Linked DNA regions of Lytechinus pictus. The protein of the gene in region 1 purifies or fractionates together with the protein of each later gene. This does not show direct contact. Links are inferred from orthologs where the notes say so. Each region holds a gene or a part of one and is shown in the gene's direction. Other genes may lie near its edges.

Region 1 (16,674 bases):
AAATTACTCGAGGTAAGAATAATCAAAATACTTCCTTATTTTTCATGACTATTTTCTGACGTGGATTATTGAACAACTCACACAAACATAACAACAACAAAAGGATCGACTTAAAATCGTGGAACAAAGTTCACAATTTTTTGTAATTTTTTGTAATTTTTTTTTTGGGGGATAAATTCCTTGCAGGAGCTAATTAGTGTGGCTGATATAAATCTCTATTACTGAAGACATAGAGAAATACAAATGATCGGAAAATACATAAGGTGTAAAGGATGGAAATGAGAATGGACACTGGAGAGCATGGGCAGAAATCCCAGGGGGACGCTTCCCCCCTACCAAAAATATAAAATGTCCCACTACTATTTTTGGTGTTTTATGATGGAGAAAAATACATCATGACTAAATGATTTTTTTTTTGCTTGTCAAATTATTTTGGGTTAAAATTACCTCATATTTTGGGTGATAACCCTTTTTTTGCTTGTTAAAGTTTCCAGCTCCTGGTCCAACTACCTCTGGAGACAGATTCCGTCCATGCTGGAGAGAGAGGGGAGAAAGACACGGAGAGCGGATGGGTTAATGCTTGTGAGACGGGTAGGGGATGACATAAAGGAACGGGATAGTTTAAAATAATACTCGATAATGCGTCTTCAGATTGATGCCAGGGCAGATCATTTTTTATCTGATTTAAAAAAATTATTTTCGCCTTCATCCTGTTTTCAGAATTTTCATATTGATTGTCTGTGCATGGAAAATAACTGGCAAACTAAAATCTTCATTTATGATTATACTTCATTAATGATTATGTTGATTTTATCCCTCAGATTGTTCTTGCTTTTGGTAACTACATGAACAGCAGTAAAAGAGGACCAGCCATAGGATTCAAACTTGAATCTTTACAAAGGGTAAATATTATTTATACAGTAGATTTATAAAAATGAATTCGGCAGATGATGAATCAGCCTGCCTTACGAAATGTGAAGTCTTCTTGACAAAAGTATCATATAGAGAATAAAAACACAAAATTTCGTGTAACATTCGTCTGGAGAATTTTCAACGATGTAATTGTTCAAGCAATAAGATTTGTCCGATACTGTAGACTTTGAATACTCCTGCTATATATCACACTGCAGTAGACACTTTCGGCCAAAGGTTGTGCTATTCAGCCATCTTCGAGCCCACAAGAATTTGTAAAAGTGTGGTCGTCTTCGCAAGCGAAAGACAAACATCATCATTCAGACAGAAACAATCGTTATGAACTCTGCAATTGCTTTGAATACTGGCGAATAGTTTCGAACAATTATTATCTTCAGTTCCTTATCAATAATCGAATACTCAATGTAATCGGTGCGCAAAATACTTTTATTTTCACCGCCCCCAAATTTTGGAATTCACTCCATAAAGATGTTCAACAGGCCCCCTCTATCCACACCTTTAAGAGAAAACTAAAAATATTTATGTTACTGTCTTACCAAAGTAATTAATTAGTTTTATATTTTTAGTATTGTCTAAGCACGCTATTAAGTCACACTCTCTTTGATCTACGTTTGCACTCTCGTTCTTGCCCCCCTCTCTCTTTCTGACCCTTTCTCTCCACATAATCTGCGTGTGTGTGTGCCTCCCTCTCTATCTGTCTCCCCCCCCCACTTTATCTTTGCCCTCTCCCTCTCTCGCTCCCCTTTCAGTACTTTATTCCTTCTCTCTCCCCTCTATTCTTCGTCATGTCTTTGTTTTCTTTTTAGTTTTTTGTATCGTCCCGTATCTCTTTCATCTTTTTATCATTTCTCGCTATTACTCACCATCTTATTATTATTTCCAATATTCTATTTTAACTTATTGTATTTACACTTGCGAATAAATCCCATTTTTCAAATGTTTAATATACTATCTTAGGGGATCCACGCTCTACAAGCAATGCTTTTTAGTGGATCCCCTCATTTCCATATCAGATTCTGTTAAACCTATATTACAAATGTTTTGGAACTTGTAGTTGATTTGTAATCATTGTTATCATATTTCATTTGTATTTGTTTATATTTATAATGTATGTTTGATTTGTATTTGCTTATAATGTTGCTAATGGAAATGGAAAATAAAACTTGAACTTGAACTATATATTCGTCTAACCTTAACAAACCATGGATTCGTTTTCTGTGTTTGACCAGTTGACGTTCGTGAAATCATCGGATCGTAGTCATAACTTCCTTCATTACCTGGTTGAAGCTGTTAACCGATGTTACCCAGAAATCAAGAATTGGTACAACGACCTTCAATTCGACGATCTCAAGTCAGGTATTTCTTTCTTCACGATAAATACATTTTTCCTTGTACATTTCCTTGAAAATATGAATGTTCGTCGTAATATGTTGTGAGGAGAATGAAATTAAACACTTTGTTAACAATGATAATGCTCAATCGATATTTTCCGGTCAAGAGAATTGCACATGTTTCTTGCCTCTTTAGCCAATCACAATAAGGTTTCAATTTTAGTTACAATAATGGCAAAGTTACACTAGTCATGTTGTAAGTCTTTACAAAACGGGTTCCATGTGAAGGGGATAAATCTGAACATTATTTTGATTCCTTAGGTTTGGACTTCATTAAAAAAATCAATTTGGAATCACATAGAGATGCAAAGCATATTTCTTTGAAAAAAAGTCCTGATCAATGATTCCTATCTGTTTATCATTTAACAGGATCTCTTGAAGCACTGACTATGGATATTCAAGGATTACGTAAGGGCCTGGAACTTGCCAAGTTTGAACGAGAACGACAGATGGACAATCCTATTATTGGAATATCCTTTGTAACAACCGACTCTTATATATATTATATTTAGTTATTTAGTCTTAAAGTTATTCAATCACTTTGAAATGAATAAGTACTTCCCTGACATAGCACATGGCTCTGGATGTTTTGTGGATGTTATGTATTTGAATTGCTCTGCTTGATACCCATGGCCATTTCTTCCATTTAATATCTTAGATATTCTTTTAGCTTTATAAATTAGCATTATAAGGAAGTCAAACGCATGAATAGTTGCAATTCATCATCCCCTATCTTTCCTCTTGTAATCATCGTCATCATTAACAATCATTATCAAGTTTCTGCGTCCCCCTTGAGCCATCTTCGGTGAAGTCCTTGTCATGAAGCATTTATCCTTGACAGCTCTGTCCACCAGTTCTATGTGGGTGCTGCAGACACCATCCATGCACTCTCTGAAGGTTTCAAGAAGATGGAAGAGATCTACCACTACACTACCAAGATGTTTGGTGAGAATGGAGACCATGTCGAACCAATCAACTTCTTCAAGCTCTTTAAAGACTTCAGCGGCCAGTATCAGGTAAGATACCTATGTATTAATCCAGAATTTAAAGGAACGGATGCGTCGTTGTCTAGTGGTTCTGATCCTTTTCTTTACAACGGATGGAGATGGGTTTGAATCCAGACCATGTGTTTTCCTTCAGCAAGAAAAATACCAAATTGTGCTGCAATCGACCTAGGTGATGTGAATGGGAAGCACTATCTTTTAATAAACATTCATTGTCAATTAACTCTTAAATTCCTATTATCATCAGGAATCCGGAAGGGGGGGGGGATTCCATTTCGCTATATTGGTAATAGGCCAATATCCTTCTAAGCTTTTTACCCTGTCGTAATGTTTATTTGCTTGGCATTGCCGGTTTGCATTGGTCAAATATTATTGTCTTTCTCTTCTTTCTTTTTAAGGCTGCTGAGAGAGCAAACAGTAAAAATCCGATTGAGGTGGCTCCTAAACGCAAACCAGCAAAGAAAAAGGGATCATACAACCAGCAGTATGGATTACCAACACAAGAACTGCCTTCTGCCGGTATCACTGGTCGTCTAGGGCTCTTCCGCCGGTCAACCCAGAACAAAGGCTCTTATGAAGTCAAAAGTAAAGCAACACCATCGACAGCCACGATACCGGACGAATCGGTGACGAACTTGAGAAGAGATTCGCCGTCGTCCTCCGACTCGGGTATAGCGTCGATGGCGTCGTCGGGCGACAGTGGTTCGGCGCGGAGCATCCCGTACGTGTCGGTGGATGGTAACGATTCATCGAAGACTGGAGGGGTTGTCATGACAGCGAATGGACATGGTAATGCGCAGACGGCTGGAGGTGAGGGTGGTGGCGGGGACAAGGCTGCAGATGGGAATTCAAACTTCTGGGGAATGTTCAGCTCATTGAAGTGAAATCGTCTCCGGCAAAACTTGTGAAGACATTAACCTTGTGCCCTGGTCTAATGTTTTGAGAAGGTTCATTCTACATCATCTTCGCGGGAAGAGCTAATGTGTGCACTTTCTTCTGACGATACCAATCATTCAATAAGGAAGATTATGATGTAACGTTGTATTATGTGAGATTTAGTACATGTCGACAAGATCTATTTTCTATTTTAATATGATGGCCCTGCTCTTATGGACCTGACTATTTCTGACATTCAAGACGATGGTCACTGTTGAATATAAGTGTATTTCAAGGGAAGATTATGTATTATTATGGGTACTAGCTATGGTCTAACAGTTGGTCATGGGGATAATGTACGAATGTGTGAGTGGGTGGATATGTACTGTGGCTTTTCGTATGCATTTGCGCGCGCGCTTGTATAAGGGTGCATGTGTATGGAAAGAGGGTTAGAATAATGGAGAGAGAATATGTTTCATTAATAAATAAGTGATCCTTTAAGAATGTTTCCTTATGAATTATATGTCCAGTGATATCATTCTTTAAAAAGAATCTATACCAATAATTCAAAATCTGTGATATTGCTATCTCATAGTTATTAAAAAAAGTATTTTATTTTCCAGAAATAGTAATGGCATGTGACTTGTGATTGCTGGCTTATTTTATTCGAATGGATTGACAAAAATTAGTTAAAACCTTTATGATCAACTAATAATTTTGCATTCATTTGGGACTGCAGCAGGATTTTTTTTCAGTGAAAAAGCCCCCTCGTAGCCCTTTAATTTTGTATACCATTTTCTATTGAACAACTAAACTATATTATTTAAGATGAAATATTTGAAGTTGGAAATATAGCTAAAAAGGGTAATTCTTTTGTAGAAAGATTCTTTCTACGAAGACCGAAAAGGGAAAATGAAAGAAATTATTCCATTATCAGTATTCAGCATCACTGGTGTATCGATGGGGGCTAAGGGCACTTGCCATCACTCCCCAAAATGTCAAATTTCACCCCATGATCCCCTAAAATGAGGATAAAAATAAAACAAAGGGATATTCCAGTATCAGTACTCGGATCCATTGGCCAATGTTGGCGTATAGATGCAATACCCAAATAAAAAGTTCTCACTACCAAGAAAAAAAAGAGAAAAGGAAAAGGAAAGGGAAAGGAATGAAATACGATATCATTTTCTTTATGTTGTGTAAAAATGTATTCGATGTTGATGCTTGTTTCTCTTTTTTCATATTAAAATTTCGTTTGGATGGACTTGAAATTGAAATACCTTAATTTTCAACCTTATGTTCCGTTTGAATAAGAACGTAACATTTTGTATATAAGTCTTCCTTTTATCCAAAACAGTAAGATATTATATAAGATTATATATTCGCAAAAGCAATTCATCCGATATTATGTATGTGATCTATTTATAATGCACGCTGCTCCATGTACATAATGAAAAAAGGGGAATAGATTTATAGAATTATATTATTCTTCATGCTTTGCAGTATTTTCGAGATATTGTAAATATTACTATAAATAATGTTAAAAAGATAATCTAATGGTTATTGTATATAAGATGATGTATTATGATTTATATTGTGTAAAAACACGTGACAGTTCATGTATTCTTATCACTTCCCCTTGGGAAAAAGGGCATTGTATTCCGATTTTTGTTCTGAAATTCTAAATTAAGCCTCTTGGCGTTCGGTCTTCTAGAGGCAGATTTACAGGCCCCAATACAAATTTTTATGTTTGTTGTATGAAAGATTTATAAATCGAGTGATACTTGTAATGTACTAATCAGCACGCAAACACTCAATGTTATTTGGGAGCGAAATATAGGAAAGCCTACATTGATTGATCAGAAACAAAAGATGGATTATTTTAATCTTCAAAAGAATTTATTCGGTATCAGTCATATCACAATGACAATGGTACATCCACTCAATCAAGTCGGTATCAGTTATACCTCTAATGATACATCTATTCCCATCCGATTTATTTCAGAAAATGTGTAATTTTGTTGTGAAATTGCCGTAATCGGTCACTCTACACATATTTATTTCATTACCATGATTACTGTACTGGAGGACTGGTATACACTATTAATGACCAGATTCTTAATAAGAATGACCGGATTCATTAAAGGGGTACTCCTGGCTGAAATGATATGGTTTGAACATCAGACAAACAAAACACTGAAAATTTGTTCAAAATTGGACAAGGAATAACAAAGTTATGCCATTTTAAAGATTTGCATTATTCCAGTGAAATACAGTTCTAGGCATGTCTTCATGAATATTCAATGAGCAAACTGATGATGTCATATCCTCACTTGTTCTTTTGTATTTTGTTATATGAAATTATGTTTATTCATTTTTTTCCTTCAAGAACCAAAAATATTGTAATAACAACTGATTAAGTGCATTGGATATTCATTGCCGCAGCTTATTTTATTACAAGGGAGACATAATTCACACATGTATGAAAAAATGAAACAATTATGATTTCATGTAATAACATAAGAAAAGGGAAAATGGGGATGTGACATCATCAGCCCCATCTAATGAATATTCATGACGACGTGCATATAACTCTTTTCACAATATATTACTAAACTTTTGAATTCAATAACTTCGCTATTTGTTATCAGATTTTTATGAAATTTTCAGCATTTTGTTCTGTGAGTTTTACTCTATTTATTTAGATATAAATATTTTCAGCCCGGAGCATCCCTTTAAATCAAGTCATCTTAAGTAAAATTCAATCATTTTAATACAATCTTAGCAATCTCTATAATATTTGTAATCCATTTTTAAAATGATATTATTTAGTGTTTTGTTAGTAGAAAAAGAAGTTTTGTTTATAAAACTTTTTTGCATTTGTCAACAAGCCTTATCAATAGTTAAAAAGGCTTAAATAGAAATGTTTTCTTAAATTGTATCACTTTAAGAAGTTTAAGATGATGTAATTCAATTAGGACACAGTGAAAAAGGATTTTTTTTCTGATAGGTTGGTCTTTACAGGTCCCATGAAGTATCAACATCCGAGTTAAAACCCTTATTAAACGTGATTAAAGAGAGAGAAAAAAAAACAAGCAACTTTTTATAGGGTTGGACGTTCCTTTAACTCGTGATTCCAAGTTTAACAAAATTGAATATTTCACACGGCTTTGTTCTTTATTGCAAGAGAGAGAAAATTAATCAAATTTGAGTGGTTGATATTTTCATATCTTACCTCTCTAAAGTACAGATGGGGGCCTTTGGGGCCCACTGTTATTATCCCAGCAAGTTACATAGAGAAAGAGCAATCAAGCTAGGATAATTCTGTTCTAAATATTGTTATTCTAAAGGAGTTTTGATTTGGCAATGACAATAATGCCAAAATAAACAGTAATGTCAATACTGAAGCCTACATGATATGTGAGCTTTATTTTCACGAAGACTGAAGAGATATGACGAGGACTAATAATTAAGGCAATTAATACCAGATAGAGAGAGATAGAGGGGGGGGGGAAAGAAAGGGAGAGGGGGGAGTGGGGGGAGGTGTGAGGGGGGCCGAAACCGAAGCCAGAATTGGAAAGTATCCAGGATTTTCCAAGAGGGAGGCAAATTTTCCCTTTTAAAAATTGACAAGAACAAAAATAAGGTCATCACTTGTGTATGAACGACATTTCCCCATTAAAAATACTCGTTGTGACTCTCAAGGGGGGGGGGGCACACTTATTATCAACGGCATATTTTCATTGAAAATATTGACTATGAATCTTTAGGGGGGCACGGGCTGGTTGTGCCCCCATGGATCCGCCACTGCACATAATTCAAGATGAGAATGAATGAATGAATGAACGAACGAACGAGTGAATGAATGAGCGGATAAAATTAATGAACGAGGGCCGGTTGTGCCTCCCATGGATCCGCCACTGCACATAATTCAAGATGAGAATGAATGAATGAACGAACGAACGAACGAGTGAATGAATGAGCGGATAAAAATAATGAACGAGGGCCGGTTGTGCCTCCCATGGATCCGCCACTGCACATAATTCAAGATGTGAATGAATGAATGAATGGATGGATGGATGGATGAATGAATGAATGAATGAATGAATGAATGAATGAAACGAACGAACGAACGAACAAAAATGAACGAATGGTGAGTCGACTCCAAGGACAGGCTGTCGTGTGTTTAGGCCCTATAAGTCACCGAAAACAACTCTATTGATAAATTTCACAAGATCAATAAAGAACGAAAACAATTATTTGCAATTAGAATATACTGGATTTGAGTGAGAAAACGCATTTACAAATGAAAGATGACAGGTAGCTGGATTGTTAAAAGCAAAAAAGTAAATAGTTTAAATGAAGCTAACGAATCACGGAGAGATAAACGAATGGCAAGGGGGCAGAAGAAAAATTTTGAAGGATTTACAAAGTTTAATTAAAAAGTAGAATTAAGAATTGAGAGGACTTGAGGGAAGGGATGGGGTAGGAACGGGAAGAGAACAAAAAAAAACAAAAAATATATACTTTTCTAAAAATATCCCAAGCGTATACTCCATTTAATTGCATTTTCATCTCATTCTTACGACACTAAAACCAATGTTGCTCTGAAAATTTGGCAAGCGAATTCCAATACTGGTCCGATATTTCAGAAATTAAAGAATTTATTGTAAAACTCGTCTCATAGTTAATGAACGGAGACTTTTCTCTGTGAAATATGAATTTACTTGATTATTTTAATATTGATGCCGAATAAATATCAACTCAAGGCAAGGGCACGCGTTATTTTTAATCAGTAATAAAAGTTGAAGAGGTAGGCAATTTTTTTTATTTTTTTTATAGCTTACTGAAGAAAACAACTAAATAGTTCACCTTTCATCTTGGACATTTTGTGTCCTATATTGTTTTATTCAACAACTCAAACAAAAGCACCTTGTTGCGGAATTTACAGGCATATAAATAATATTTCAAGGTCAGAAATATACGATAGTACAAATGGAACTTGTAATAAAAAATAAAAAAATCTTTCGAAATCGGAAAGGGTGATTCTTGTCTTTATCCTGGTGAGTCATTTCGATGTCTTATGCCGTGTAGAGGTTGTGACAGTACATAACTATTCGCGTCAGATCTTAACTTGTAATTTTTTTTTTCAATCAAGTTAGTTATTACAGCAATGAGAATGAAAAGGAAAGAGGCAAGTAAAGAAAATGAAAATGCGATTTATGGACAAGATGAAGGGGTGATAAACCATATAGTGGACAACTTGGTGAGGGGGCAGTTTCTATACTCCCGAAAAGATGATTTAATGTTTTGTCAATGCCTTATTGCACGAAAATATTGCACTTTTGATATTAAATGTAAATAACAAACACGCATCGTATGTGATGATTAAAAACCTTGCAGATGTACAGGACAGCCCCAGAGCCACCTCAGTCTCTGATGAACTCAATAAACCTGCATTCAGCATTGGATGAGCGCCATCTACGGTAGCGTAGGGTAACTATAGCAGCATTCTTTCAGCGGTGATTCGAGATCGGTCAAAATGTCATACAGAGATCTGAGAAGTAAGCTAAATTTTCATGATATTGTGAAATTATTATATATTTTTTGATAAAATGTTGTGTAGTGATTTACATGAGATTGATTTTCATACAAGAAATCAACGATAAGACTTTCAGATTGAGATTAAGGGCAATGACATGTTGGGTATGTTGTGGAATGATGTTTACCGTAAATTGAGTTGCGTGTTACCCGTACCTACGGGGCTGGGTGTGTTCGGAGATTACGGATGTTTTTGTGTAGGCCTAGTTACTAGTACAATGTCAATGTAGGGCCTAGACAGCTGGCAGCCGTCTGTTTCGAGGAGTTTTTCAACATTTTTTTATTTTTTTGATTTCTCCTCGTACACAGACGGCTCGCTAGCGTGTCGCCACCATTACTACAATGCAAATTCCCCCCGACGGGGCTCATCGATTTTTGTCTTTATTTCATAAATATAATATATATATGAAAATAAATGGACAAATATGCGAATTAATTATATATTCCCTCTTGGCATTAATTGCCAAAAACGAGGGAAAAATAAAGTTAAAAGGAAAAAAAACAGCGACTTACCTCGGCTGTCGTGTAGTTCCTACTCCTAGTTCACTCGTTCATCCGAAGTCGATATAACACACAAACATATGCCGTTGGAAGAACTTCCGGGTCAACTGCGTATCAAAACCATTGGCCAATCAGATCATCTCTTTTACGTCGGGTTTATGAATACTAAAATTCTAGACGTTTTTTTCCATTTTCCTTTATCTCTTTCTCTTTCGTTTTCTCTCTTTTTTGTTTTACTTTTCTTTTTATTTTTTATTTCCCCTTTTTTCTTTTGTTTCTTTAACTGCTCCTTTCTTTTCCTCTTCTGTAATGTTGACGTAAAGGTCATGGGGCGGAGTCTGACTTTTGTCGGCCACTTTTTCATGAATTATTCATTACCAAGATGGCTGCCCACTAGTCCGAGTCGCAAGTGTCAACTTTCAGAGTTAATCCCCTGATTACCAGTTTTAAAGCGGGAATTTAGGGTAAGAAACTGTCGTTACTTATACATTTTCAGCTATAGGTGCATATGTATGAACTTTTGGTGGAAAATATCGCGGTATCGAGGAGAAAAACAAGAAATTAGCTGTGGCCATTGAGCCCCTGTACAGACGACGGTTTAACTTCGGTCTATGTATTTGGTGAGTGGAGCCAACGTAGTTCAGCGGAACAACCAACATAACAGAGACCGAAGCTTTTGGTCTATGTAGGGCCGGGCTACAGCCTACAGTACCTAGATCTATGTCGCATTGTGACATCCGCAGAGCTGCCAAGTAGTGGTTTTCAGTAATTATTACTGAAAAATGAGAAAGATTACTGGTGGTTTCATCTTACTCTTCTCAACTCTTTAATAGTTTATTCTTCCCCCTCCTGACCTTGTCACTTCTTTACTTAGTTAAGTTTAACTAATTCTTTCTCAAACTTTAAGAATTTCTTAATCTGTCTTCTCCCTTTCCCCTTCTCTTCCTCCTCCTCATTTGCCCCTTGTTTTTTTCAGTTGTTTCAGGTGAGATTTCACTTTTCTCATGCTCTGAGACTCTAATTGTATACCCAATTGCTGTGTGTTCGGACAGGTTGTGTGGCCGGACGATTGATTTCAAACAGCCATTTGAAAAAGTTAACAAGCAATATTTCATCAATTTTTAATGCAAAGTCTTAGCCTTACTTAGGCAATATTCAGAGAACAAAACTGAAAAGAGTTACCACTATTGAATTCATGTTTTTTTTGGTTCAATCCATACCATAGAAGTGTCCGGACACCAGCAGACCTCCATCCTAACAAAAAGCTCCTGACGACCTGACCCCTTCCCACATAAGGTCTCATATAAAAAATAAACTGATAATTGTCACATTCTCCCTGTTTTTTTTTTCTGTAGATTTTACTGAGATGATGAGGGCGTTGGGTTATCCTCGCCTCATATCCATGGAGAACTTCCGTACCCCAAACTTTGCTCTCGTAGCTGAGGTGCTCATATGGCTAGTCAAGAGGTAAGCCATTAAGATGATACACAGCATTTATGTTGCACCATATTTCTGTTAAAAACATTCATAACATGTTGGAATTATGTTCTGTCATTTGTTGCTATGTTTTTTCTTCACTTTATGTTCAGATTTTTTAAAAGCATTTGAAGAAAGATCTCTAGCAGTTACAATTAAATTGAATAGTTTAATTATTATTGTTGTAATTTTTCTGTTCCTTCTTTTTCTTGCATACAATTCACAATGAGGATTGTCATATAGTCAAAACATTTTTTTTATTTGGACTTGTACATTAACTTTGTTGTCAAAACTCGTTTAAAAATTATGTGTATGATGAAAGAATCTTGATGACTAACAGTCCATTACATGAGTATGAATTTGATAATCTTTTTTTTTCTCTCTTAGTGATACACATAAGGCATTTTGAAAGTAAAGAAAAATAATGAGAGTTTTAAGTTGTAATTCTATGCAGGTCCTGAAGCGATGCACTACCTGTTGCAAGTAATTTTCAAAGGCAAATTGTGACTGGTGTGGGACAAATGATTCATATTCTACATGTACATGTAAAATTTAAATTTCCTCAGAGCCATCAATCATTTGCAAAATACAGTGAAAGACTTTTTAGTGGTTTTGAAGTTCTATATTCTTGAATGTTTTATTGTTTTACAATAATAGGAATAGATCCTACACATTGAGGCACAGGAAATGCTGTTTCTTTGAATGAAAAGTCTAGTACAAACCTTTAGGACCCCTTCCAAATCAAATGACAAAATAAAAATATGTATGGAAAAAATGGGAGAGTTTTCCCTTTTTTCTGGGAATTTTTGTGCAATTTTCTTCTTGGATAATGATTTTCGGAAAATTTTACTCTGATTTAATTTCGGTATTAAATCTAAGCAAATATTTAAATTGTCATAGTTTTTATTGTCCAGTAACTAAGTGCCTAGCTTTTGGTCTCACAATCTGATATTGTTTTTTTTTTTAAATCTCTGTAGGTATGATCCTAATGCTGATATTCCTTCTGACACAGACTCAGAACAGGACAGAGTTATTTTCATCAAATCAGCTGCACAGTTTATGGTAAGGGATCATGTTTTACAGAAATAACAATTTGAGAGATCTTGTAATGGAGGAGAATGATAAATAATGCAATCATTTATCTTAAAAAGAAGGAATTACCCTTCATAAATGGTAGGCCTATTCATTTGCTAAATTTATAGGATACCCTTTCATGGTAGCATTTGAAAAATCATACCTGTTGAATAAGTGATTTTCTTTTGGCGGGTATTTGTTGATGTGCTTATAGATATATTGTTAATCTTATATATACTTTAATAAAAAAATCTTTTCCCTGAGTTTAAACAATTCAGGATAGTGAGAGCAGATCAAGAGGCAGAGGTGAGATTTAGCAATTGTAACCTTTCAACAAAACCTATTTATCTTTGAAGGCAACCAAGGCACATATCAAACTGAATACAAAGAAGTTATATCAGGCCGATGGTTATGCAGTCAAAGAGCTCCTGAAGGTCACGTCAGTGCTTTACAATGCAATGAGGACAAAGGTCGGAGGTCAAGATGGTGATGATGATGATGGGGCGTCAGCTATGTCATTTGACATATCATCAAAGGTAGGTCACAATGAAGGGGTTTTCAGTATTTAACATGTATTTGTGAAATCTTAATTATAATTGTAATTTTAAAAAGGATTATTGCATGGGTCACTGATTCAGAAGCAAGCTGATTACCTTATACTAAAATAGTAATGAACCATTGTTTTTTGTTTATATTTATTTAATTTACCAGAAGCATTTTACAATATAATGAAATGACAACAAATTTCATGGGAAACTAAATAATATACATATAACAATAAACATTGACAATAATCAATGCCTGGCGATTACCTGCAAATTATTATTTTTTTTGAAAGGATTTTCTCATTGGTTGTTGTAAGCTTACAAACCAAGTGGGAAATATGAACATGGCAGTAGTAAATAGTTCATATAAAGAAGGAAGAGGTATGCCAAAGGCATGCCAAATGCAAAACGAATGAATTTGAGTCTTTAAAGAAAAAGGCAAAATAAGACAATAGAAAAATATCTCATATATGTAAAAGAATACATTGACAAAAAAACACAAAAATGTACTATTTTAGAGAATGAGAGAGATATGTCTTCAAAGGATCCTTGAAAAATCTCATCTGTATCAACATGTTTAAGATAGCAAGGTACATGTAGCTTATTCCAGAACTCTGCGATAGCTTGTTAAAATGGTCTTGCACCATAAAGTTTGTGCACACTGAGTGAGAACAGAGATGGCATTTTGAATGAGAGTTTAGGTTCCTTGCAGAACTTGTTATTTTAACCCTAGTTCATATGGCCGGGGGGGGGGGGGGGGCCTCCCAGGCCCCCCTTGAGATCTCGAACGCGATCGCGCTGAAAATTGGCACGCGGGTTGTCTAGGACATAATCTACAAAATTGTATAGTAATTTATTTCATGCGAATTGCTATAAGGTGATTATGCTAATTTATGCGTAATTAGTATGCAAAATCATATTTTTTCCTCTAACTCCCTAAATAAAGCTCCAAATGTTCCAATTTTTGGTATAGAAACTCTTTGTGGTGTTCTTAGCAAGTGTACATGAACAAAATTGTGATATCAAATCATTTTCTTATGTATTATATTGTTTTTTGCAATTTCTTATGTATTTCTTTGTTTTGTTGACCTTTTGTTTTTCATTGTTTTTTCAATCAAATTTGTTGGGGACTCTTTTAGATCATAAAAAGCATGAAATTAATACATTGAGACCAGCAAAACTAAAAATAATCATACATTTATGATTTTTGGTTGAAAACACAATTTGCATTGACTTTGTACTCAAAATCACGTTTTTTAACAAGTTTTGGTCTGACATGCACTTACATAATGTTGCGTAATTTCGGAACCATGTACCCGGTGACGCAAAATTGGTCTCAAAAGTTGCCCAAGACTTGAAAGTAAAAAGTCAGCGAGCGGCGCGGTAACAAAAATTCGCGCGGCAAAAATATTGCGCGAATTTTTGAGGGGGGGGCTCCGAGGCCCCCCCCCCCCCCCCCCCCGGCCTAGATATGGTTAAAAGCCAGGCTTTCTTCCTGTTTTGATTTTACCAATAACCAATTTTGACATGGGATTGTATCAATTTTTTGCTATATCTGTAAAACACTCCAATATCAAAGCAAAGTCATTTGTAAACTTGTTTTCAAATGACTTGTTTTCATTTTGTATCTTCCTCATGTGTTTCTACTTCTAGATCCAAGATTTGAAAGCCTCCAGACAACTAGCATCAGTGATCACATCAAAAGGGGCTAGTTTATACGATCTTCTGGGCAAAGAAGTTGAACTTAGAGTAAGCATTTTCTCTTCTAAAGAATTACTTGTTTCGGTCAAGTCCATTAATAAAAAAAAATCAATAGAATATACTTTAATGCGTTTAATGTGCATATTGAAATTCTTGAAATATCTGTGTAATATTCTTCAGCACATGTCTTTGCCACTCAACCTCTTTGAAAGATACTTTCCAACATGCCTCATAGTTGTGTCTATAATGAAATTTAAGGACCGGCAGAGTAAGGTTGTTGAGTAGGATTATTGCTGAAAGACGTGGGTCGGACACTTGTCAATTTTTTTTCGAGCCTAAATACCCTAAGTTGCAGATATTGTGACATGTATTTGATGAAAGGCTTCATTTTACTTGAAAAGCAAGTAGTTGATATTTGATAGTTATGACTGTTTTACATTTGAGTTTATCTTTCTATTTTAGGTTGTAACTTGTATTTTCAATTTTCATAGATTTTTTTGTCTGTATAACTTAAATTTGAAACTCACAATTTTTGTGTTTTTCCCTCAGGAAATCCGTACAATGGCCATCAATAAACCTTTAGAGATCAATGAGATTGAGAAAGGTTTACGGAACAGCATCAAGGCTGTTGAGGTGAGAACACCTTTCAAATTTGAGAAAATAATTCATTTTTCTTTGCATAAGTATATATTTTCTTTATCATGTGATTTTAAGATTTTTTTGTGTATTGACTGAGTATTTCTTAAACTTGATGTGGTTTTTGTCACAGCTGTTGATAACCAATCCAAAACAATACATCTTATATTGGTGGCTCCATATTTTCAAACAAATTGATGTTAGGCTTTGCAGCTAAAAAAGGATTCCAAAGTATACCCTATGATTTGCTTCTGATCTCTATCCTTTAAATCACTTCTGTTTTATTTTTCTGAAGACTTATGATGGTTTGCAAGATACTCATGTTCAATTGCAAATCAAATGTAAGTCCCACAATCTAGAATGATTTAGCGTCAAATAATTAAATGCAAATAAAAATGAAATTCAACGTCTAATCAAAGGACTTGATTTTGGGACTAATGCTTGATTGGAATTGAATGTAAGTTTATTGTAATACCTCATATGAGTTAGAGTTGTGATAGGGTTTATATATATATATGAATAACAAAGGGGAGTTTTTCATTGAGCAGCTTGTCAGGGATTTTCACTGACAGATTTGATCTGGGCCAATCAGAGTTCAGTAGCATGTTACAACATTCAATGAAAATCACTTTTACACAAGGCCAAGGCCTTGTGGAGGATTGTTTTGTTTGGATTAATAATCTATGGTTAGAGTCGTCGTTATCTGAATGAATGTCATGAAATGCAATGTTTTGATTTGACAGCAAAATGTGAAGAAAACGCAGAAGATGCTGGAGAATGTGGCATCAGATGAGGCGAACCTTGAAGCTAAGATTGATAAAAAGAAATCCGAGATGGAAAGGAACCAGAAACGTCTCCAGACGTTACAGTCGGTCCGACCAGCATTCATGGATGAATACGAGAAGCTGGAGGGTGATCTTCAAAAACAGTATGAGG
Region 2 (17,274 bases), about 12 Mb from region 1:
ATTTCATTTTATTTTGAATTGTTCTTTGTTTGTGAAATCAATCAATTTCGAAATGAAGACAACATTGGCTATCACTGCAGTACTGTCGTCTAAATTGAACTTGAAATTTGTGATATTTGGTCTCGCATTCCTCATTACTGTCACATTGCAACTCAAAATGGCCATGAGTCAATATGCAAAAAAAGAAGGAAGTTTGAATGTATTCTTTGAAATCCATCATTTTGTGTCCGTTTTAAAAATGTTTTTGTGTTTTATTTTTTTTCCTCTAATCTATCACAGTGCTTTGTGGTGGCTGCTCACATACACTTTTTGTTCTGTAGGTATCTGTTTTAAGACTATTTTTAGTGAAAAGGAGAATAATTTGAAAATATCCTGTTGTTTTCTCAGGGTAATATATGTGTAATTTTTTTTCTTTCTCTCTTTCTTATCCGTCTGACTCGTAGGTTTGTTAATTTTTACTCTGTCACATCTCTGCCAAGTGTTTTAAACATTTAGAATCATTACCAATGCGCTTAGGAATCAGTATTTTTAATTCTAAATTCATGAGCTACAAGTTTTCAGCTATAAAAGTAAATTTCCAAGATGGTTTGGTATTTGAGATAATTTAAAATATACTTTGACAGAAATCAACTACTTTATTAGTTTTTTTTAACATTTTGCTTTAAAACGAATGGTAAAATACAGCTGGGGGAGTAAAATCTATGGTTATTAGAGGGTGAAATAGGGTTTGAATATGCCTCTAATTTGAATATATTTTATTTCAATTTTTTGTCTTCGCTATGAGCACAGTGTGTAAGACATGCCTCCTGCCAATATCCAGATGTGCTGCCAAGTTGGCCTTTTTATCTTCCAACTGTTAACTCTTTTTTTTTGTGGTCGCATTTGTATTGTTGAAGTCATGAACAGAGTCGTTGAATATTGTTTCTCTTCTTCCCCTATTCCCCTATCACTTGTTATGCTTTCATTGTATTTTATCCAGGACTCACTTTAATCAGTGCTAATGTCTGTTTTCCAAGGTTCATTTTTATGTGCTGTCCATTCCATTGTTTCTGGGGGTTATTTTGCCTTGTGAAATCATTTATTTCATCCACGGAAAGAGATAATCACTATTGACACCTATTCTCATTACCACCAAAAAATGTAGCTGTTCTGTAAAACTAAAATTGTGCAAATAATATATGTAGTGTGTTGACTCGTTACTAAAGAAAAAAAAAATAGCCAGAGGTGAAATTGAATGCAATGGTACTCTTGTGGATGTTGTTTACATTTTATCCCTGAATTACAATGGTTATTAAGACAAGGTGACAACTTTTAGAGTAAGTTATATATATCTATATATGAAAAATCTAGTGCGAGAAACAACGAACTGTACACTTCCATTGCTTGTGTTTATGTATATGTAATTCATACTCTACTAGTGCCTATGTGATGAAATGAAGAGAAATTTACTTGGCAGTCTTCTAAACTCACATTTTTTGAGCCATTTAAACATTATGACATTATGTAACTTGTATTCAACAGGCATTCCGTAGTACTAGTCTCTGTGCCCTTATGCAGAAAAGATGTGTAATAGGCAATTTGTAACTTGTAAAGTACAAATGAAAATGTAAAAAAAAAGAAAAAAATGTAAAAAAGACAAAAAAAGACAAAAAAAGAGTAAATACCGACTTTTGTTTTTTATGTCGGGTGCAATTTTGTTCTTGATGCCAATGATAATGAATGAAATAATATCTACCTGATATGTTAAATGCCTTATTCACTTAGTCTTATACAGTCTATGTAAGATTATATACTTATATTATACGAAAATGGCTGTTCAATCTTGTGCGATTTTAATTTTGTACTGGTAAGCAAAAAAAAAAAAAAAAAAAAAAAAAAAAGGAAAAGTTCTTGTATTATATACTTTATATGAATGTTTGATTACAATTGAATGTCGTAAATTGAGATTTTTTGAAAATGATGAAAATAAAATGTGGAAGGCGTGATGTGATCAACCTTACACAGAATGTGCCCCTTGATGGTACAGATCAGTTCTAAACGCAATCATGATAATTTATGAAGGTAATTATCTGGATATAGAGTGACATAAATACTCTTTGTTTTCATACTACGGGTGTGTGTCTGTGTTATGTCCAAGATTGAATATTTGAGAACTTATCTTCCATGCTGGAAAAGAATGTGATGAAAAAATTTTCAAAAAAATAAAAAAAAAATGATGAAAAAATGATAATAAAAAAAAATGTGAGAAAGGGTTAACCAATGTATAAGTATTATTTCATTATTAAGATGTTGAGTGTGTGTGAATTTTACGGACACGTATGATTGCATAAAAGTTTTATTCACTTGTATCTAAGCCAGGTTGTAAACTATTGGAATATCAAATAGCACTCCTTTAAAAGCAAGGGTGGTTTCAAACATTAAAGTATAGAATTTTATGATGAAAGTGTTTTTTTTTTCTTTTGGGTATTTGTACAAACTTAGTGGTAGCTGTTTAAAGACCTTGTGTGTGTTTTCAAGCCATTTACCCATCTTGTACCAAGTATACATATATTGTACAATTGTTTTTCATTCTTCAAAAATTGAATAAGAGCATGTATTGTGTATAAAATCCCTTTTACGACCTACTTATAACCGGCAATATGTAGTTCGTAAGAAACGTTTTGAAAAATTTAATTTTTTGATGTCATATACTATATTTTGCTTCTCTCAATTTTTTCACTTGTATGATATTTTTTGAAAGTGTTGCAGTAAAGATAATCCGTTCATTGATAATGCATGTGTATTGTATATGTCAAAGACAATTAAAATGAAGTGCATTTTAGTATTTTTTTCTCCTGTGGCATTTTTGTGAAGGTCACGCCTGTATGTGCAGCTCTCTAATATTGAAATGAAAGGAAATATTTCTTGTTTTGCTATGCCTCTGGCGATCACTGTTTTTGTGATATGTATATCAATAAAATTGCCAAAAAAAAAGAGAAGAATTCTAATGCTTATAAGTTCAAAGTGGTGACACAACATACATGTAAAGTGATACATTAACTTCTTTATTTTTAATAATTATTGTATTTTGTTTGTATGCATTCCACAACAAAGAAGGATCCATTGGAAGTTTAGATTCCCAATGTGGGATATAACTCACGAACTTAAAAGAAGTAGTAATCAAAGAATTAGCTAATAGTGTTTCACATTTTTTTTTCTTGTATAGTGATATGAATGTACCGTTATTACTTGCCCACCCCCAAAATAATATTTAAAAGGGGTTCTTCAATCTGACGGTGCTAGTCTACACAATATGTCAGAAAATCAAATGCAAAAAAAAAAAGAAAAAAACGAAAAAACTAAAAAAAAAGAGTTGATTGATTTTTCAAAGTCTTTCCCTATAAAACAAATATTTTGCAAACCATGATACTTTACTGTAATGCTTATAATGAAATGTGCATGTTTGTTTTTGAATATGTGTGTATACTGTAATTAACCATATTTTTGTTTTGGTTGTTTTAGAGCGGGTGGGGGACTGTTTCAAGTTATCACCCCTCCAAAGGAGAGAGTACAGTGTGAAGTTGATTTATTTGTATTATTATTATAGGCCCTTTGTAGTCTTTATAGTTTTGTGTAGTGACTTAGATTGATGTAGCACAATTTAGCAGGTATTACAGTCGTTTCAGGTACTATATATATTATATATATATCCATCTTTCACTCTTGGCAGGCTGCTCGTCATATTGTGTATATAAAGCAATTTGACATGTTTCTTACCAAATAGATTTGTTATGCTTTTTAAAATCGATAAATAAAGCACACTTAGATAGAGATACATATTGGTAATTAAGATAATAATCTTTGTAAAAATGGTCATTAACCAACTGCAACTGTTAGTGTAATTGAATGGGATGGGAATCAAATATAAAATATAATATATTCACATTACCAAATGATATTTGGAAAATGGAATGAATGAGACCCCAAGAGTTTTTCCTAAAACCTAAATATAGATTCACAAAATTGGGAAATATATTTAAAAATGTTAAGAGAAGTATCATTGATTTTTCAGGTTATAATCAGATACCAACATTCACCTCAATGTGAAGACAAATTTTTTTTTTAAATTAGTTATAGATGATATAAACCTACTAATCTATTTTATCTTTTATTCAGTTATTATCCTTTATTTTCAACTTGTCATTAGTATCTTTGACTTGTTTTTTGTTTTAATAGAATTCATATGGTCTTACAAGTACAATATGATCTTCAGTTATGCACTTTAAATTCTGTGTGGCTACGAGAATATATCGAGAAAGAAAAAATATGGATGAACCTGCCTTGTTAATGAAAAGCAATTAGTGTCAATACTAGTATGAAATATGTCTTTGAAATTCATTGTGTGTTGTAATTGTTGTGATTGATTTGAAAAAAAAAAACCCAAAAGTTTCAACTAAACAAAACAAAACGAAAAAAATATAAAAAAAAATAATGGTGTGCAAATGTGTTTTATGTTTTGAAGGCACATGCTATGCAGTTTAGGAATAGTTTTGTGTAGCTACTGTGCAATGCACTGAACTTGTAAAGAAACCATTTTGATAGTTTATCTTGAACGGTTTATATTCTGTATGTACTACTTTCACACTCGTATATCTTTATGACTATTGTATTTGTGATAATCAACATGAAAAAATACTGTAATAAAAAGAGGCCTGCTTAGTAAACTATGCTTCCAAATTGAAGTAATTCTAAACCATCCCAACACTCAAATATGTCAACAAGAAAAAAACAAAAACAAAAAAATAGAAAGATTGAATCTATATTTAACGGAAGAATTTGTATTTTTGTGTTTTTTCTTTGACAATGAAATTTTGAAATAACTGAAAGATTGTATTAGTGTAAAGTTTTTTATGATATGAAATTTTAATGTTTAATTTCCTTTTTTTGTGTGTCTATTAAATGCAACTTTAGAGAATAATTCTGTTTATAACAAATGGAATAACATGAGGGGGATAATGCAAATGTTTATTCATATACGAGGAGGAAAACTGATTTTCATTGTAATACTTTATCATTATTATTTTTTTAATGCTGCTGTATTTGATAGCTTAATTGTGTAGTAGTAATAGGCACTGGTTTTGTTGTGTATTGATGTTTGGAGTAGCGAGGATTGAAAAAAGAACCAACTTAAGCAATGTATCTGCAGACCGAAAAATAGAAATGGATCGCACTGAACTTGCCAATACTTACCAATTGCTGACTTAACAACTTTATACAAAGCTTTGTGATAACCAAAATCAAAGAAATATACTGTATGGGAAATTTTAAGAATCTAAAGAGAAACACTTTATTTAAGTCTTGTCAAATCTTGCTGTGAAAAATCAACTTGATGTGCCTGGTACAAGCAACTTTAACCTAAAGATATTTGTCAATCGTTTTTAAAATGTCGTCACACATTTCTGTAAAAGTCACATTGATTTTTTTTCTTCAAAACTTTCTGTTTGATACTCTTCTTGACTTAACATGTTTATGTGAGTGTATCGGATGTGATGAAACAGATGGGAGACGTTATGAATGAAAGACTATTTGATAGTTAAGATAAACCCTGCCAGTATGTTTTCTAATTCATGTTAAATGACTATAATTCTTTGATTGAAGTACTTAATTATGGAGTGGTACTGATTCTTTTGTTTTCTGTAATGTATTTAAAACTGTCATATACCCTTTGTGCCTGATTTGAAAAAAAGGACAATACTCTGAACATAGTCACTAAAAACCATGGACCATGTCATCTCAAGCCTTTCAAAATTGTCTTCATTCTCTTTTTATTTTGTGATGAATGCTCCCCAATTATGCTCATTCATTCTCATAGAGATCTGAGACATCACAATCTAGCCTGATTGGAACAAGAATGGTTTATAGAAATAACAAGTATTATATTTGCACTTCCTTCTAGCATATATATGCCTTTTTTGATGCAGTACATGTTTAACAAAAGGATAAACTGCTTAATATTACCTTAATCTGCATAAGGAGTATTCTTTAAATTCTTTACGTTATTACTTAGATTATATGTTACAATATATGCCATTCATTTTGTTAGTGTCTGACAATCAAAACATGTTTTTGAAATGTAATAATCCACCTCTTTTGATATTTCATAGATTCTTTTAAATTGACATAATTATCAAATATATATTTATACTTTAATAATTGTTAATAATATTGGAATACTTGGAAATAAACAGGTTACGTTTGTAAGCTTAGTGTACTCCTAATGTCCCACTTATGTCTTCAGTAATCAGTACAAAATAGCAATGTTGCAATTTAAACAGTAATGATTTTAGATTATTTGACTAGAATAAGTGTTATCAGTGCTATATTTGCATAATGCAAACCATTGCCCATATTTCTTTTTTCATGTATAAGCTACGGTTTGTTTCCTCAAAGAAACTGGTACATTTTTAGCCTATGCTTGGTGTATTACTTTCAAGATTATACTTTAATTAAAGAAACAATGGATTTTCAAAGAAGAAAAAAAAGACTTATGCCATAGCATAAGCTTTGTCAGTACTGGCCAGAATACTACACAATATTTCACCAATTGGTAGTTTCTATTTAATTGAATGTTTGAAAAGGTTTATTTCCAAAGTTGCATGTTTTTTTTTAAATAATACACTTTGTGGTACTTGTTTGCCCATCATTTTACACCAGAAAAATACTTAACAATACTCAAGAATTAATACTCTCTAATCAAGACACTGTGATGATATATACTGTCCCAATTAAGCATCTTAATTGATCTTGAAAAAAGGTAAAATAAAGGGGAAAACCCCATTGCTGCATGCTATTTACTGCAATTTTTTGGGAAATATACAAGATTTGTAAGCTCAGATATTGTGATAATGATTTTGATGTTGAGTAGGAATTGACATTATATCACATTATGATGTAGTTTGTAAGAACAGTTAGTAATTATACTGATTTCTGATATACAGTTTTGGAAAGTATATTTCTTAAAATGACAATAATGTAAAGGAGGATTTTATCAGTATAGGATGGTGATGATTGTAATATTCCAATATTCTTGGCACGTTGGATGCAAACCATGTGCTACCCATTTCGCCTTCTGATACATTTCAGGCTGTAGAAATAAGCTATATTTAAATCATCGAGTACTTGGCCACATCTTTCCAACGTTATTCTCTCTTTATCAACCCAAATTGTGCTTCCATAGTTGGAAAATTTGAGATGTAGTTTGTTGTAAGAAAACAGGAATTGTCAAAGTAGACTAATGGCTCTTTTTCCCTGCAAAAGTTGATAGCAATGTGAAACTTATGTATATTTGCAGTAGGATTTTGTGTGTGTGTGTTAACAGTGTCAAAGAAAAGGCAGATGGTAAAGGACATGAGAAAAGGTTTTTTTAAAGGAAGTGAAAAAGATTTGGCAAAATCTATTTGGATGTAACAGTAGGAGTGAATTTCAATATGTCAACAATACGAGACAGTGTATGTATAGATGAAACCTAATACGCATATTTTTTTTCTTTTTTGGTGTGTGCTCAAAATAGACCTTGTTGGAATGACCAATAATAGAATCGTTTCCACAACCCCTGTGTTTCATTTCATGTGTCTTTGCCTCAATTTGAATTGTGTTGTGAGCCGGATGACCAGATATCCTCCTGCACCCCATATGAATCATCCCCAGAATTCTCTCTGGAACTTTATTTCACAAATTTTTAACATTCTATTTATTTTTAATTTTTAGAAATCTATTACATGTATCAACAACATAATACATGTAGATGAAAAATAATTTTCAGATATTGAAAATTCAAAGTCATTCTCGACTTCCGTGTTCTCAGTACCTCTATTATTGTTACATCAATGCATGCATTCATGATGATGCACATCAATTTGGGACGTAGAACAGTTTTTTGTGCACAATTGCATGCACTGCTCCATGATGGAATGTCTCATGTTACTTTCAAAATCTGGTCAGTCTGGTTCTCAAAGAGAGAAAGAGTAGGGGGGGGGGTAGAAAGAAGGAGCAAGAGACAGATATTAGAGAATGAGAGGGAGGGGGCTGATTTATCATGCCAATAGAGATCATAAAGGTATAGAAATGGGAAAATATACAGAAAGAGATGAAGATGGTAAGGTGGAGATAATAAGCTGAAGAGTATGAAATGAGTAGAAATATACAAAATGGCAAAGAGATCCGAAGGAGGGCAGACTATATACGGGTTGGGGAATTTACAAGCATTGTAGATGTGTGAAGAGAGAAGACAAATATATTTTTGAAATAGATCTCATTCTTAATTTTGAAAGGTAATGGATTAATGGATTTCCAAACATGAAATGAAAGAAAACAACCAAATAAGGAAATAGTTGGAGTTGGTCGTTCTCAAGCATATGAGGGGATGGATCAATAAATTAGTGCTCTGACAAAGAGAAAATATCTTAAAGGGAAGAAGATGGAGAAAAGGAATGATGAAAGTGTGGACAATATGAAAGAGATCAGGGTAAATGCGTTTCTAAAAACGACCGGAGTCACAAAAGGGAGCAATTATGTCTAGTGAAATGCCGAGGGATCATTTAGAAACGGTTGTATTGTAATATATGAAATGAGAAAAGGGGGGAAAAGTCGTACAAAGGTCAAGGGAGCAATTATAATACACAAGAGAAGTTGGAGGTTGCAAAACAGTGGAGACGTCGACAGAGAAGGGGGATGCGTCTCAGAAATTAATTGTTCGGTATAAATCACATCATGGAAAAGTAGCATTGTAAGACTTTAAACGAGAGTGTTGAGGAAGGGGGAATTTAAATGAGAATGTAGATTTGGGGAGAAACCTGTTTCAGATAGAGGAGATCCTAGAATAAAAGGGAAATAATCCCTATGGAAGCAGAAAGATTTGCAGGATCGAGAGATCCGGGCGAGAGATAATTTAATAAATAAGAGAAATAAAAATAATCACAGAAAACTAGATCTCTATACGGTACAGTAGGGTACATTATTTTGTTTGTGCTTTGTTCTGGGAAATGCAGGCAAAGTTTCTTCTTTGAAAAATTGATATTTTATAAATAATTGATTATGAAGGATAGCCGTTTTCGATCGCTGGTGGATATAAAGACTGGTATCCGTTCTCAGGCATAACAAAACTGTCCTAACACCGCACACAACACGATGATTAAATTGTAAAACAAGTGCAGCTCCAAATATTTTCTTGATCTCGTCGAGAAGAAATAGCGTCGTGTTGTCAGGGATACGTTTTCATAATTTCTTTCCAGAATGCCAGTTTCTTTAAGAGCGAAATGTCTCGTAGTCGGTAAGTAAATACCGGTTGCTGATTATATCAGATCAATGAAATAATTTGAGTTGTGTTGTTTCTTTAAAGAGATGCTAATCGGCGCGTTTGTCCAAGCAAAATGCATAATTGCAGTCCCGAATATTTACTTCTGTGTCAGTGTGTGCTGGTGATCATGTGAATGTTGTTGCGAATTGCGCCGATTGAACTCGAACGTTTACGCGTTAGCTCTAGACTACTAGAGTCTAGCTCTATCTTTATACCAGGATTTATTACAATGGAAGATAATGAAAAGGGGAGGCAGTGAAAGATACATGTAAGGTTTTTTGGGGGGGCAGGGGTTACCCTTTGGTCCGCTGGCCGTTCTTAAGTCAGAGTCAGAGACATTTGGGGAAAGATTCATTCAAAAAGTGATTTGGGGAAGGAATAAAAATGTAAATTGAAAAAAAATAGGCCACCATCATGACGATACTTCTCACCCTATTGACATGAAAGTTGGTCGATTGCTTCGCTTTGAAATGACAAGCAACAACTGTGCAGCCCACGAATGAGAGTAGATCTAGTATAAGACTATATTTTATCACCATTTTGATTTTTTTTTTCAGCCCAGCCATGAAAAACTATTTTTTTAGATCAGTTGATAATTCAACTTTTATACAACGAAGAGTAATTTTGGATGGTCTATATTAGTGAATTGGTTTATCAACAGCCCCTATGCACACTTCCATTTTGAAATCTTGATTAGCCCTTCCCATTCTACCCTTTGCATCAATTTCTACAAATTGAAGAAAGTAGAAATTTATTTATTCTTTCTTGTATTATTAATGTTTTGCCTTTGCAGGAGACTCGGCTGTTGGAAAGAGTGCATTGACCCAGGTATTTCACAGTGATGGAGCCCATTTTCCAAAAGGTTATTCAATGGTTAGTACATTAATTTTAAAATTTTCAGAATTATTCATTAATTTTGATGTTGTAAAAGACAAATGGCAAATATATAGAGCTGTTGATGGCATATGTTCTAGCGACAACTGCTACAAGAACTATTTATTTTACAGTGAATATCTTGTGATGCCTTTTCTAATAAGAATTATGTCTCATGCTCCTTACCTTGCCCATACGAATCCTCTATTTGTTGAATTGAATGTATTAAAATTTTATGATATTCATGCATTTCAAATTCTTATATTTATGTATTTATGTAACAATAACCTCTTGCCAGATTATATCAAAACATTCTTTAAGTTCAATAGTGATTTCCATGGATACAACACAAGAAATGCAAAGAATTTCCATCTACCTAAGCCAAGACTCTCATCTTTTAAAAACTCAATTTTATTTCAAGGACCACAACTCTGGAATTCTGTTTCTGTAGACATCAAGCAATCAGTTTCATTAAATGTTTTTAAGTCAAAATCAAGGTAATTTACTTTAAATAGTAATTCATAGAGTTTGTATAAATTTCATTCAGGTATTATAGGCACCCCCCCCCCTTTGTTGTAGTTTAGTGATTTTTTTCTATCTTTGTTATTGAAGTCTTTGTATAATTATTATGTTATAGGGTCAGCTAATCACAAGGCTTGTTCCTTTCTTGCTGTCCCTCTCTTGCTGTCCCTCTCATATTCAATCCAAAGTTTCTATTTGTTGTTGTTTTTTCTATTTTGTGAATATGATACTTTGTATATGTATGTTTTTGTATGGATTTTTATGAGCAAATAAATTGAAATTGAAATTGAACTAAAAGTTTAAATACATAAACGAATCATTCAATTTTAGCCCTCTTAAAGCAACTAGTCAATAGACAATATCACACTTCTCTAAGTTTGTTTGCCTATTAATGCTATTGCTTGTTTTTCATCATGATTTTAGACTGTCGGAGTTGAACTGTGTGTCAAGAATATCAGCATTCCAGACACGAGTGACACAGTGGTATGTATCAAAAGAGAATTGGGGCAATTTCATAAAAATGTTCTGAAAGTTATCTAAATGTTCTTAAAAAATGTAATTACATCAACCAACATCGAAATACGATCACATGAATTAACCTTTTCCTGAAATGTAAAGTATGTTATTTGCAAAAAATGTTGGTGATTTGGGAGGCATTTTTTAAAACTTTGATGAAGCATCAAGTGAACAACTTTATTTGGCAATAAGTTTTCAGTTATTCTTAAAGTCATTACTTATGAACAGTTTTGTGAAACTGGCTCCTTATAACCTTAACATTGTTACATACATTATAATTTGATGTTATGATAATCAACATCCTAATAATTAGTGCAAGAAATTTGCCAATTATAAAACGTGATAAAGATTTAGATAAGCCCAGGTCATGACTCATTAATGTTAATGCAGGGCATTAATATGAATGTCCAGTATGTTAATGACAAGTAAATGAGATATAACATATTTTTGAAAGGAAATGCAAGATACATTTCGACCACGCGAATACAATAAACATCCAAACAGCTGTGATTTTGTTGCAAATTGTCCTTATGGGGGGGGGGGGGTGGTGGTGTTATAAAATGTGCTTCTTAAATATGGAACAATATAGAGATTCAAATTGTTAATTGAATATTCATGTAATGATTGAAGAGAGACAAGATGGCCAGTGTTGATTCATGTTCTCATAATATTGTCTGGAAATAACAATTTTGGGTAAAAACAAATTTAGAAGGTCACAAAAGAGGAAATAGTTTACTTAATCATTCAGCGTAATATAAACAAATCTATTAACTTGAATCTTTCATTGAAGAAGTTTGTTTAGGGATAGATGTGCATGGGAAGAATAAAATCACCCCTTTGAGGAAAAAAATGATGAAATATGTGAAGAAAATAATCAGAAGATCGAACTCGATGAGCAACAATTAGTGTGTCAGTTATCAGAAAATTTGGCTGTTCACATGGGAATAACTAATTTAGCAAAGCTATATTTGAAATAAAATCAATTTGCTTGTTTTCTTGCTCATTGAGAAATATGACATTAATCTTGTCTTTCCAATTTACCTCCTTGGTACTGCCATTAAATACTGATGTCAGTTTTGATATTGTTTTCATTTTCATGAAGGAATTGTACATCTATGATACGGCAGGCAAAGAGATGTTCTTTGATTATGCTCAGCAAGCAGTAAGTATAATTTATGTAGATTACAAAGTTTATGTACTCTGTAACACAAAATTCTATACTGCCCCATTCTTTTAGCTTGTTTGCTCTCAACTCTTGGATCGTGCAGATGTAGTTATATTTCTTGATAGAGAAATTCAGGAGCAAATCTACCCTTGATTATGGCCAAATGCATATTGGCTATTGGATAGGTCTATACTGTACCCTTATGTGAATCTTAAAAAGAAGAAGCAAATTGCTTTCAGATCTCTAGAAATTCAAAAACATTAGTCGCACTTTAGAAGACGTTATGTTGTGTCTTGCTCTTTCTTTCTTACTTTTAACATTTTCAATCCCTAATGTCATGAACCTTCATGGATTTTTTTGATACTCCAATTTATTCTTGTGGCATTGTGATGTATAAGTATTGCTTACTTATGAACGCTGTTGATTCAAGTGAAGTGTGATATTCATTTTAACCCTGCCTGTCTGTTAGACTTTGAAAAGGAATGATAGTTATTGTTTTCTTTTAAAAAAATAATATTTTACCAAGTCACACATTCAGCATGCTTCTCAGATACAATATAAATGTATTTAGTCTAATCTTCAGGATCATATAATTTGCCTTTATATCCCCTTCCCCTCTTACTGTATGTTCCTGTCCTCTCTCCTTTTCCATCCTGTACATTCCTCATCCCTCCATCTCTTTCTTCATCTCCATTCCTTTGCCTTTTTTCTACATCTCCCATTTTCTTATCTTTCTTTATCTCTAACCCCTGCCCTCTCTCTCTACCCCATACCCCCTATGGCCTTTCTTGACCCCCTATCCCCCCTCTTCCCCCATCTCTACCTCCTACCCCCTTTGGCCTTCTTGACCCCCTATCCCCCCTCTCTGTCTTTTGGCTCTCCCCTCTCTCCCGTTTGTCTCTCTCTCCTTTCCCCCTTTCTCATCTCTCTCTCCAATCATCCCTCTCCTCCCTCTCCTCTCTTCTTCTGAAGTGGGAGCATCCATCAGTGATGATGGTGGTGATGGATGTGACAAATGAAACCAGCTTCACTGCATGTAACCGCTGGGTGGAACGAGTCAAAGCTAAAGCTGGACAGCACATCCCAGGTGAGATATGATTCCATCATTGCAAATTCGTTGTTTGCTGAGTTTCCACTGAATACAAATACAGGCACCAAATACCAAATGTACTTGACATCAGAGGATATCATTCTTTAATCTGTTATATTTTGTTAGTGCCTTAAAATCATCTATCCAAGTATCCGAACTACATTAAATTGCTAATATATACATAGTGAACTGTATAGTTGGGGCAACGTGCAATGCTCAGGGGCAATGAAGTAGTTGCGTATCCATTGTAGGATGTAGGATCAAACAGCTGGTGGATGATTTGATTGGCTATGAAACTATTAGGCTGTTTGGTTCTTGATGCTAAGTGAAGAGTGAATAACTTTAAAGTATGTCGGTCATCAATATTCCTTACTAAACATGCCATCTGTTAATGTGAGACTCTGAGATTGGAAACAAACTCGCCTACCAAGATATATGATTACTCATTTATCTACAATGTGCTCTTTCACTTGGCCAGGTGTATTTGTAGCCAACAAGATTGACCTTGAAGGGCGGAGAGTCGTAGAGAGGAACAAGGCTGAAGAATTTGCCAAAGGCAAAGGACTGGAATACTTTGAATGTTCTGCTGTAAGTTTTAATGTGTGATCTGTGTAAATATAAAACTATAGTTTAAACCTTCATATTAGTGGAGCGGTTATGTGACAAAAAATGGCCAAGATGCTCGGATCTGGCAGAAAGTGTGAAATTTGGCATACAGGGATATTTTGGGGCGCTGATTTCAAAAATTGCCGGCCCCAAGCGATTTGACCATCGGGTCGGCCGCCATTTTGAAATCCAAAATGGCCGCCATGAAAAATCATTAAATGTCATTTTCTTGAGTTTTACATGGCATGTGACACTGAAATTTGGCATATATGGGTATTTTGGGGCACTGATTTCAAATATTGCCGGCCCCTAGCAATTTGACCATTTGGCCGGCGGCAAAATGGCCGCCATCTTGAAATCCAAGATGGCCGCCATGATATAATATTGCAATCATTTTCTCGAGTTTTATATGAACTGCGGTACTGAAATTTGGCACATAGGCTTAATTTGGGGTGCTGATTAAAAGAATTGCCGGCCCCAAGCGATTTGACCATTGGGTCGGCCGCCATTTTGAAATCCAAGATGGCCGCCATGAAAAATCATTAAATGTCATTTTCTTGAGTTTTACATGGCATGTGACACTGAAATTTGGCATATATGGGTATTTTGAGGCACTGATTTCAAATATTGCCAGCCCCCAGCAATTTGACCATTTGTCCAGCGGCAAAATGGCCGCCATCTTGAAATCCAAGATGGCCGCCATGATATATTATTGCAATCATTTTCTCTAGTTTTATATGAACTGCGGTATTGAAATTTGGCATATAGGCTTAATTCGGGGTGCTGATTTCAAATATTGCCGGTCCCAAGTGATTTGACCATCGGGTCGGCCGCCATTTTGAAATCCAAAATGGCCGCCAAGAGAAATCATTAATGTAATTTTCTTGTTTACGTGACATGTGACACTAAAATTTGGCACAGTTACAGGATTTTGAGGCACTGATTTCAAATATTGCCAGCCCCAGCAATTCGACCATTTGGTCAGAGGCAAAATGGCCGCCATCTTGAAATCCAAGATGGCCGCCATGATGTATTATTGCAATCATTTTTATGTGAACTGCGGTATTGAAATTTGGCATATAGGCTTAATTCGGGGTGCTGATTTTAAATATTGCCGGCCCCAAGTGATTTGACCATCGGGTCGGCCGCCATTTTGAAATCCAAGATGGCCGCCATGCATATCGAAAAATAAGACCTCAAATTTCTTCTCCCTTTCACTGCAAACGTTCGAGTGCACTTAAGCGTATCACCAATACATAAAGACACGTCGATAGGGGTGCATGGTAGATATACATGTCAGGTGAACAATGGGTGCGAAGGGTTACCGTTGTTGTATGAGCTTGATTTCACCCTCCATGGAATACACTATTCCACCACACAGATTTGTCATGGTACTATCGCCAATCCTTGCTACGAGTCTGAAACTGCGTAGATTTCCCGTTTTACAGGCAAAACGATGGGAGCTATATCGCATATGATAGATTTCAACAACTGAACTTCTCTTGCAAATTATATATCGTGGAATTCATAATTTTTCGACAAGAAAATGTAAAATTTTGAGCTAAACAATGTATATCGTCATGGGTTCGATGGCTAAAAATGAAACACAAAATTTGTGCCTGGAACGTGCGGTACGGGCACATTGCTGAAGCCCCATTGAATACTGTATAAAAACGGGCATACGCACATGCATATATTATTGTGGTCTTGGGTGAAATTATGTTATGTGTCTTTTGATTAGATGGTAAATAACCAAGTGTTTTCAAGCAATCAAAATATATGTATCATCAGTCGAAAGAGAAGAAAATAGGCTTTCTTTTTGCGTCCGAGTTGCTTTCTACACGTGTTTTAAGTTTGATGGAATCGCCCACAACTGGGATTTCCCTGTGATCTCCATAGACTTCTCTCAAATTCATTAATGTTCATCCAATTTATGGCAGCCATCTTGAAATCCAAGATGGCTGCCATAAAAAAATTCATTAAAAAAATAAGTATCATAATTATAACGTAGTTATTATTTTGAAATTTTGCATTTTTGGATAACCATCGTGTGTTCGACAATCTGACAATGGGAGCATGTTCGCCTCTCGATCGGGAGATCGGGAGTTCAAGCTCCGACAGCATCAGACCAAAAGATTTTAAAAGAGGGGAGTTCCTTCTAACCTGTTTGGCGGTCAACGAATTAAAGGGAAGTTCAACCTGACAAAAAGTTTATTGAAACAATAACAATAAATAATGAAAAAATATTGAAGGTTTGAGGAAATTCCATCAAATATTTAAAAAACTATTGGAATTTCATTTGGTCTATTTGTGACGTCAGATGCAAGCAGTTCCCCCATGTTTCTTATAGTACAAAATAAATGAAATGTAGCCTCCTAAAAAAATCAAAATGTTTTTATTGAAGCTTCGGTATATCAACAAACAAATGATTTCACACCCGCTCCAGAAAGATTAAAAAATACCCATGATGAACCATTTATGCATTTTATATCACACAACATAATGGGGCAGCTGCTCGTACAGTAGCCTATATGACGTCACAAATCAAAAACTTAAATTCTAATATCTTTGATGGATCCACCTATATCATTTTTATATCATATTTTCTTTTGTTTTTACAACAAACTTTTCTCCGGGGTGAACTCCCCTGTTTAAGGGATAGAGCAACGTCTGACTGTGTGGCGCTGCTAAATTGCTGCCGGGCTCACGATCTACAGGGTATGGGCAAAATAAATTTTCGGAGCATTTCTGTTACTGAATTCTATTTTGAACAATAAAATGTGTATTATTATCATCCATCATTGATATTAATTTCATCATCATCATCATACCACTATAACCATCAGTACTTCAAGTCTGGAGCAGTTTTCTTCATGTTGATTTGTAATAAAATATTGCAATTATTGGAGCAATATTTTCAAACCAGCAGGCCAAAAACTTGCCTGTATGTCTAAAATGCAGTGCCTCAAATTATTTAAAACCAAGAAAAGGATTTTGATGAATTTTCATGACAGTAGATCCTCTCTAGATTTCAAGATGTGGCCATTTTGCAGCATATCTATTGGACAGATTACTAGGGGCATTTTCAATATCCCTAGATGCCAAACTTTAAAATAATACGTTATGTGATACTAGATAAAGTGATTTTTTTCAATGATCTTTTTTCAT

Evidence for each region.
Region 2: the proteins of clusterin-associated protein 1-like (region 1) and intraflagellar transport protein 27 homolog purify together in Homo sapiens (affinity purification with mass spectrometry; 3 studies listed by BioGRID and IntAct, with this or other methods). This does not show direct contact. The link is inferred for Lytechinus pictus from reciprocal best matches to the Homo sapiens genes CLUAP1 and IFT27.

Annotation. Positions count from the first base shown.
Region 1 is NC_087254.1:19,165,080-19,181,753, reverse strand, and holds the start of clusterin-associated protein 1-like, read left to right. Parts: upstream 1-9,682; 5' UTR 9,683-9,746; coding exon 9,747-9,768; intron 9,769-11,661; coding exon 11,662-11,773; intron 11,774-12,759; coding exon 12,760-12,844; intron 12,845-13,212; coding exon 13,213-13,392; intron 13,393-15,054; coding exon 15,055-15,150; intron 15,151-15,651; coding exon 15,652-15,735; intron 15,736-16,481; coding exon 16,482-16,673; intron 16,674-16,674. Other genes in the region: formin-like protein 3, read left to right, coding at 1-12, 822-902, 2,163-2,289, 2,694-2,794, 3,176-3,340, 3,727-4,212. UniProt on the Homo sapiens protein: Required for cilia biogenesis. Appears to function within the multiple intraflagellar transport complex B (IFT-B). Key regulator of hedgehog signaling.
Region 2 is NC_087254.1:31,016,191-31,033,464, reverse strand, and holds the start of intraflagellar transport protein 27 homolog, read left to right. Parts: upstream 1-9,076; 5' UTR 9,077-9,270; coding exon 9,271-9,307; intron 9,308-10,127; coding exon 10,128-10,207; intron 10,208-11,152; coding exon 11,153-11,212; intron 11,213-12,347; coding exon 12,348-12,407; intron 12,408-13,382; coding exon 13,383-13,497; intron 13,498-13,978; coding exon 13,979-14,088; intron 14,089-17,274. UniProt on the Homo sapiens protein: Small GTPase-like component of the intraflagellar transport (IFT) complex B that promotes the exit of the BBSome complex from cilia via its interaction with ARL6. Not involved in entry of the BBSome complex into cilium. Prevents aggregation of GTP-free ARL6.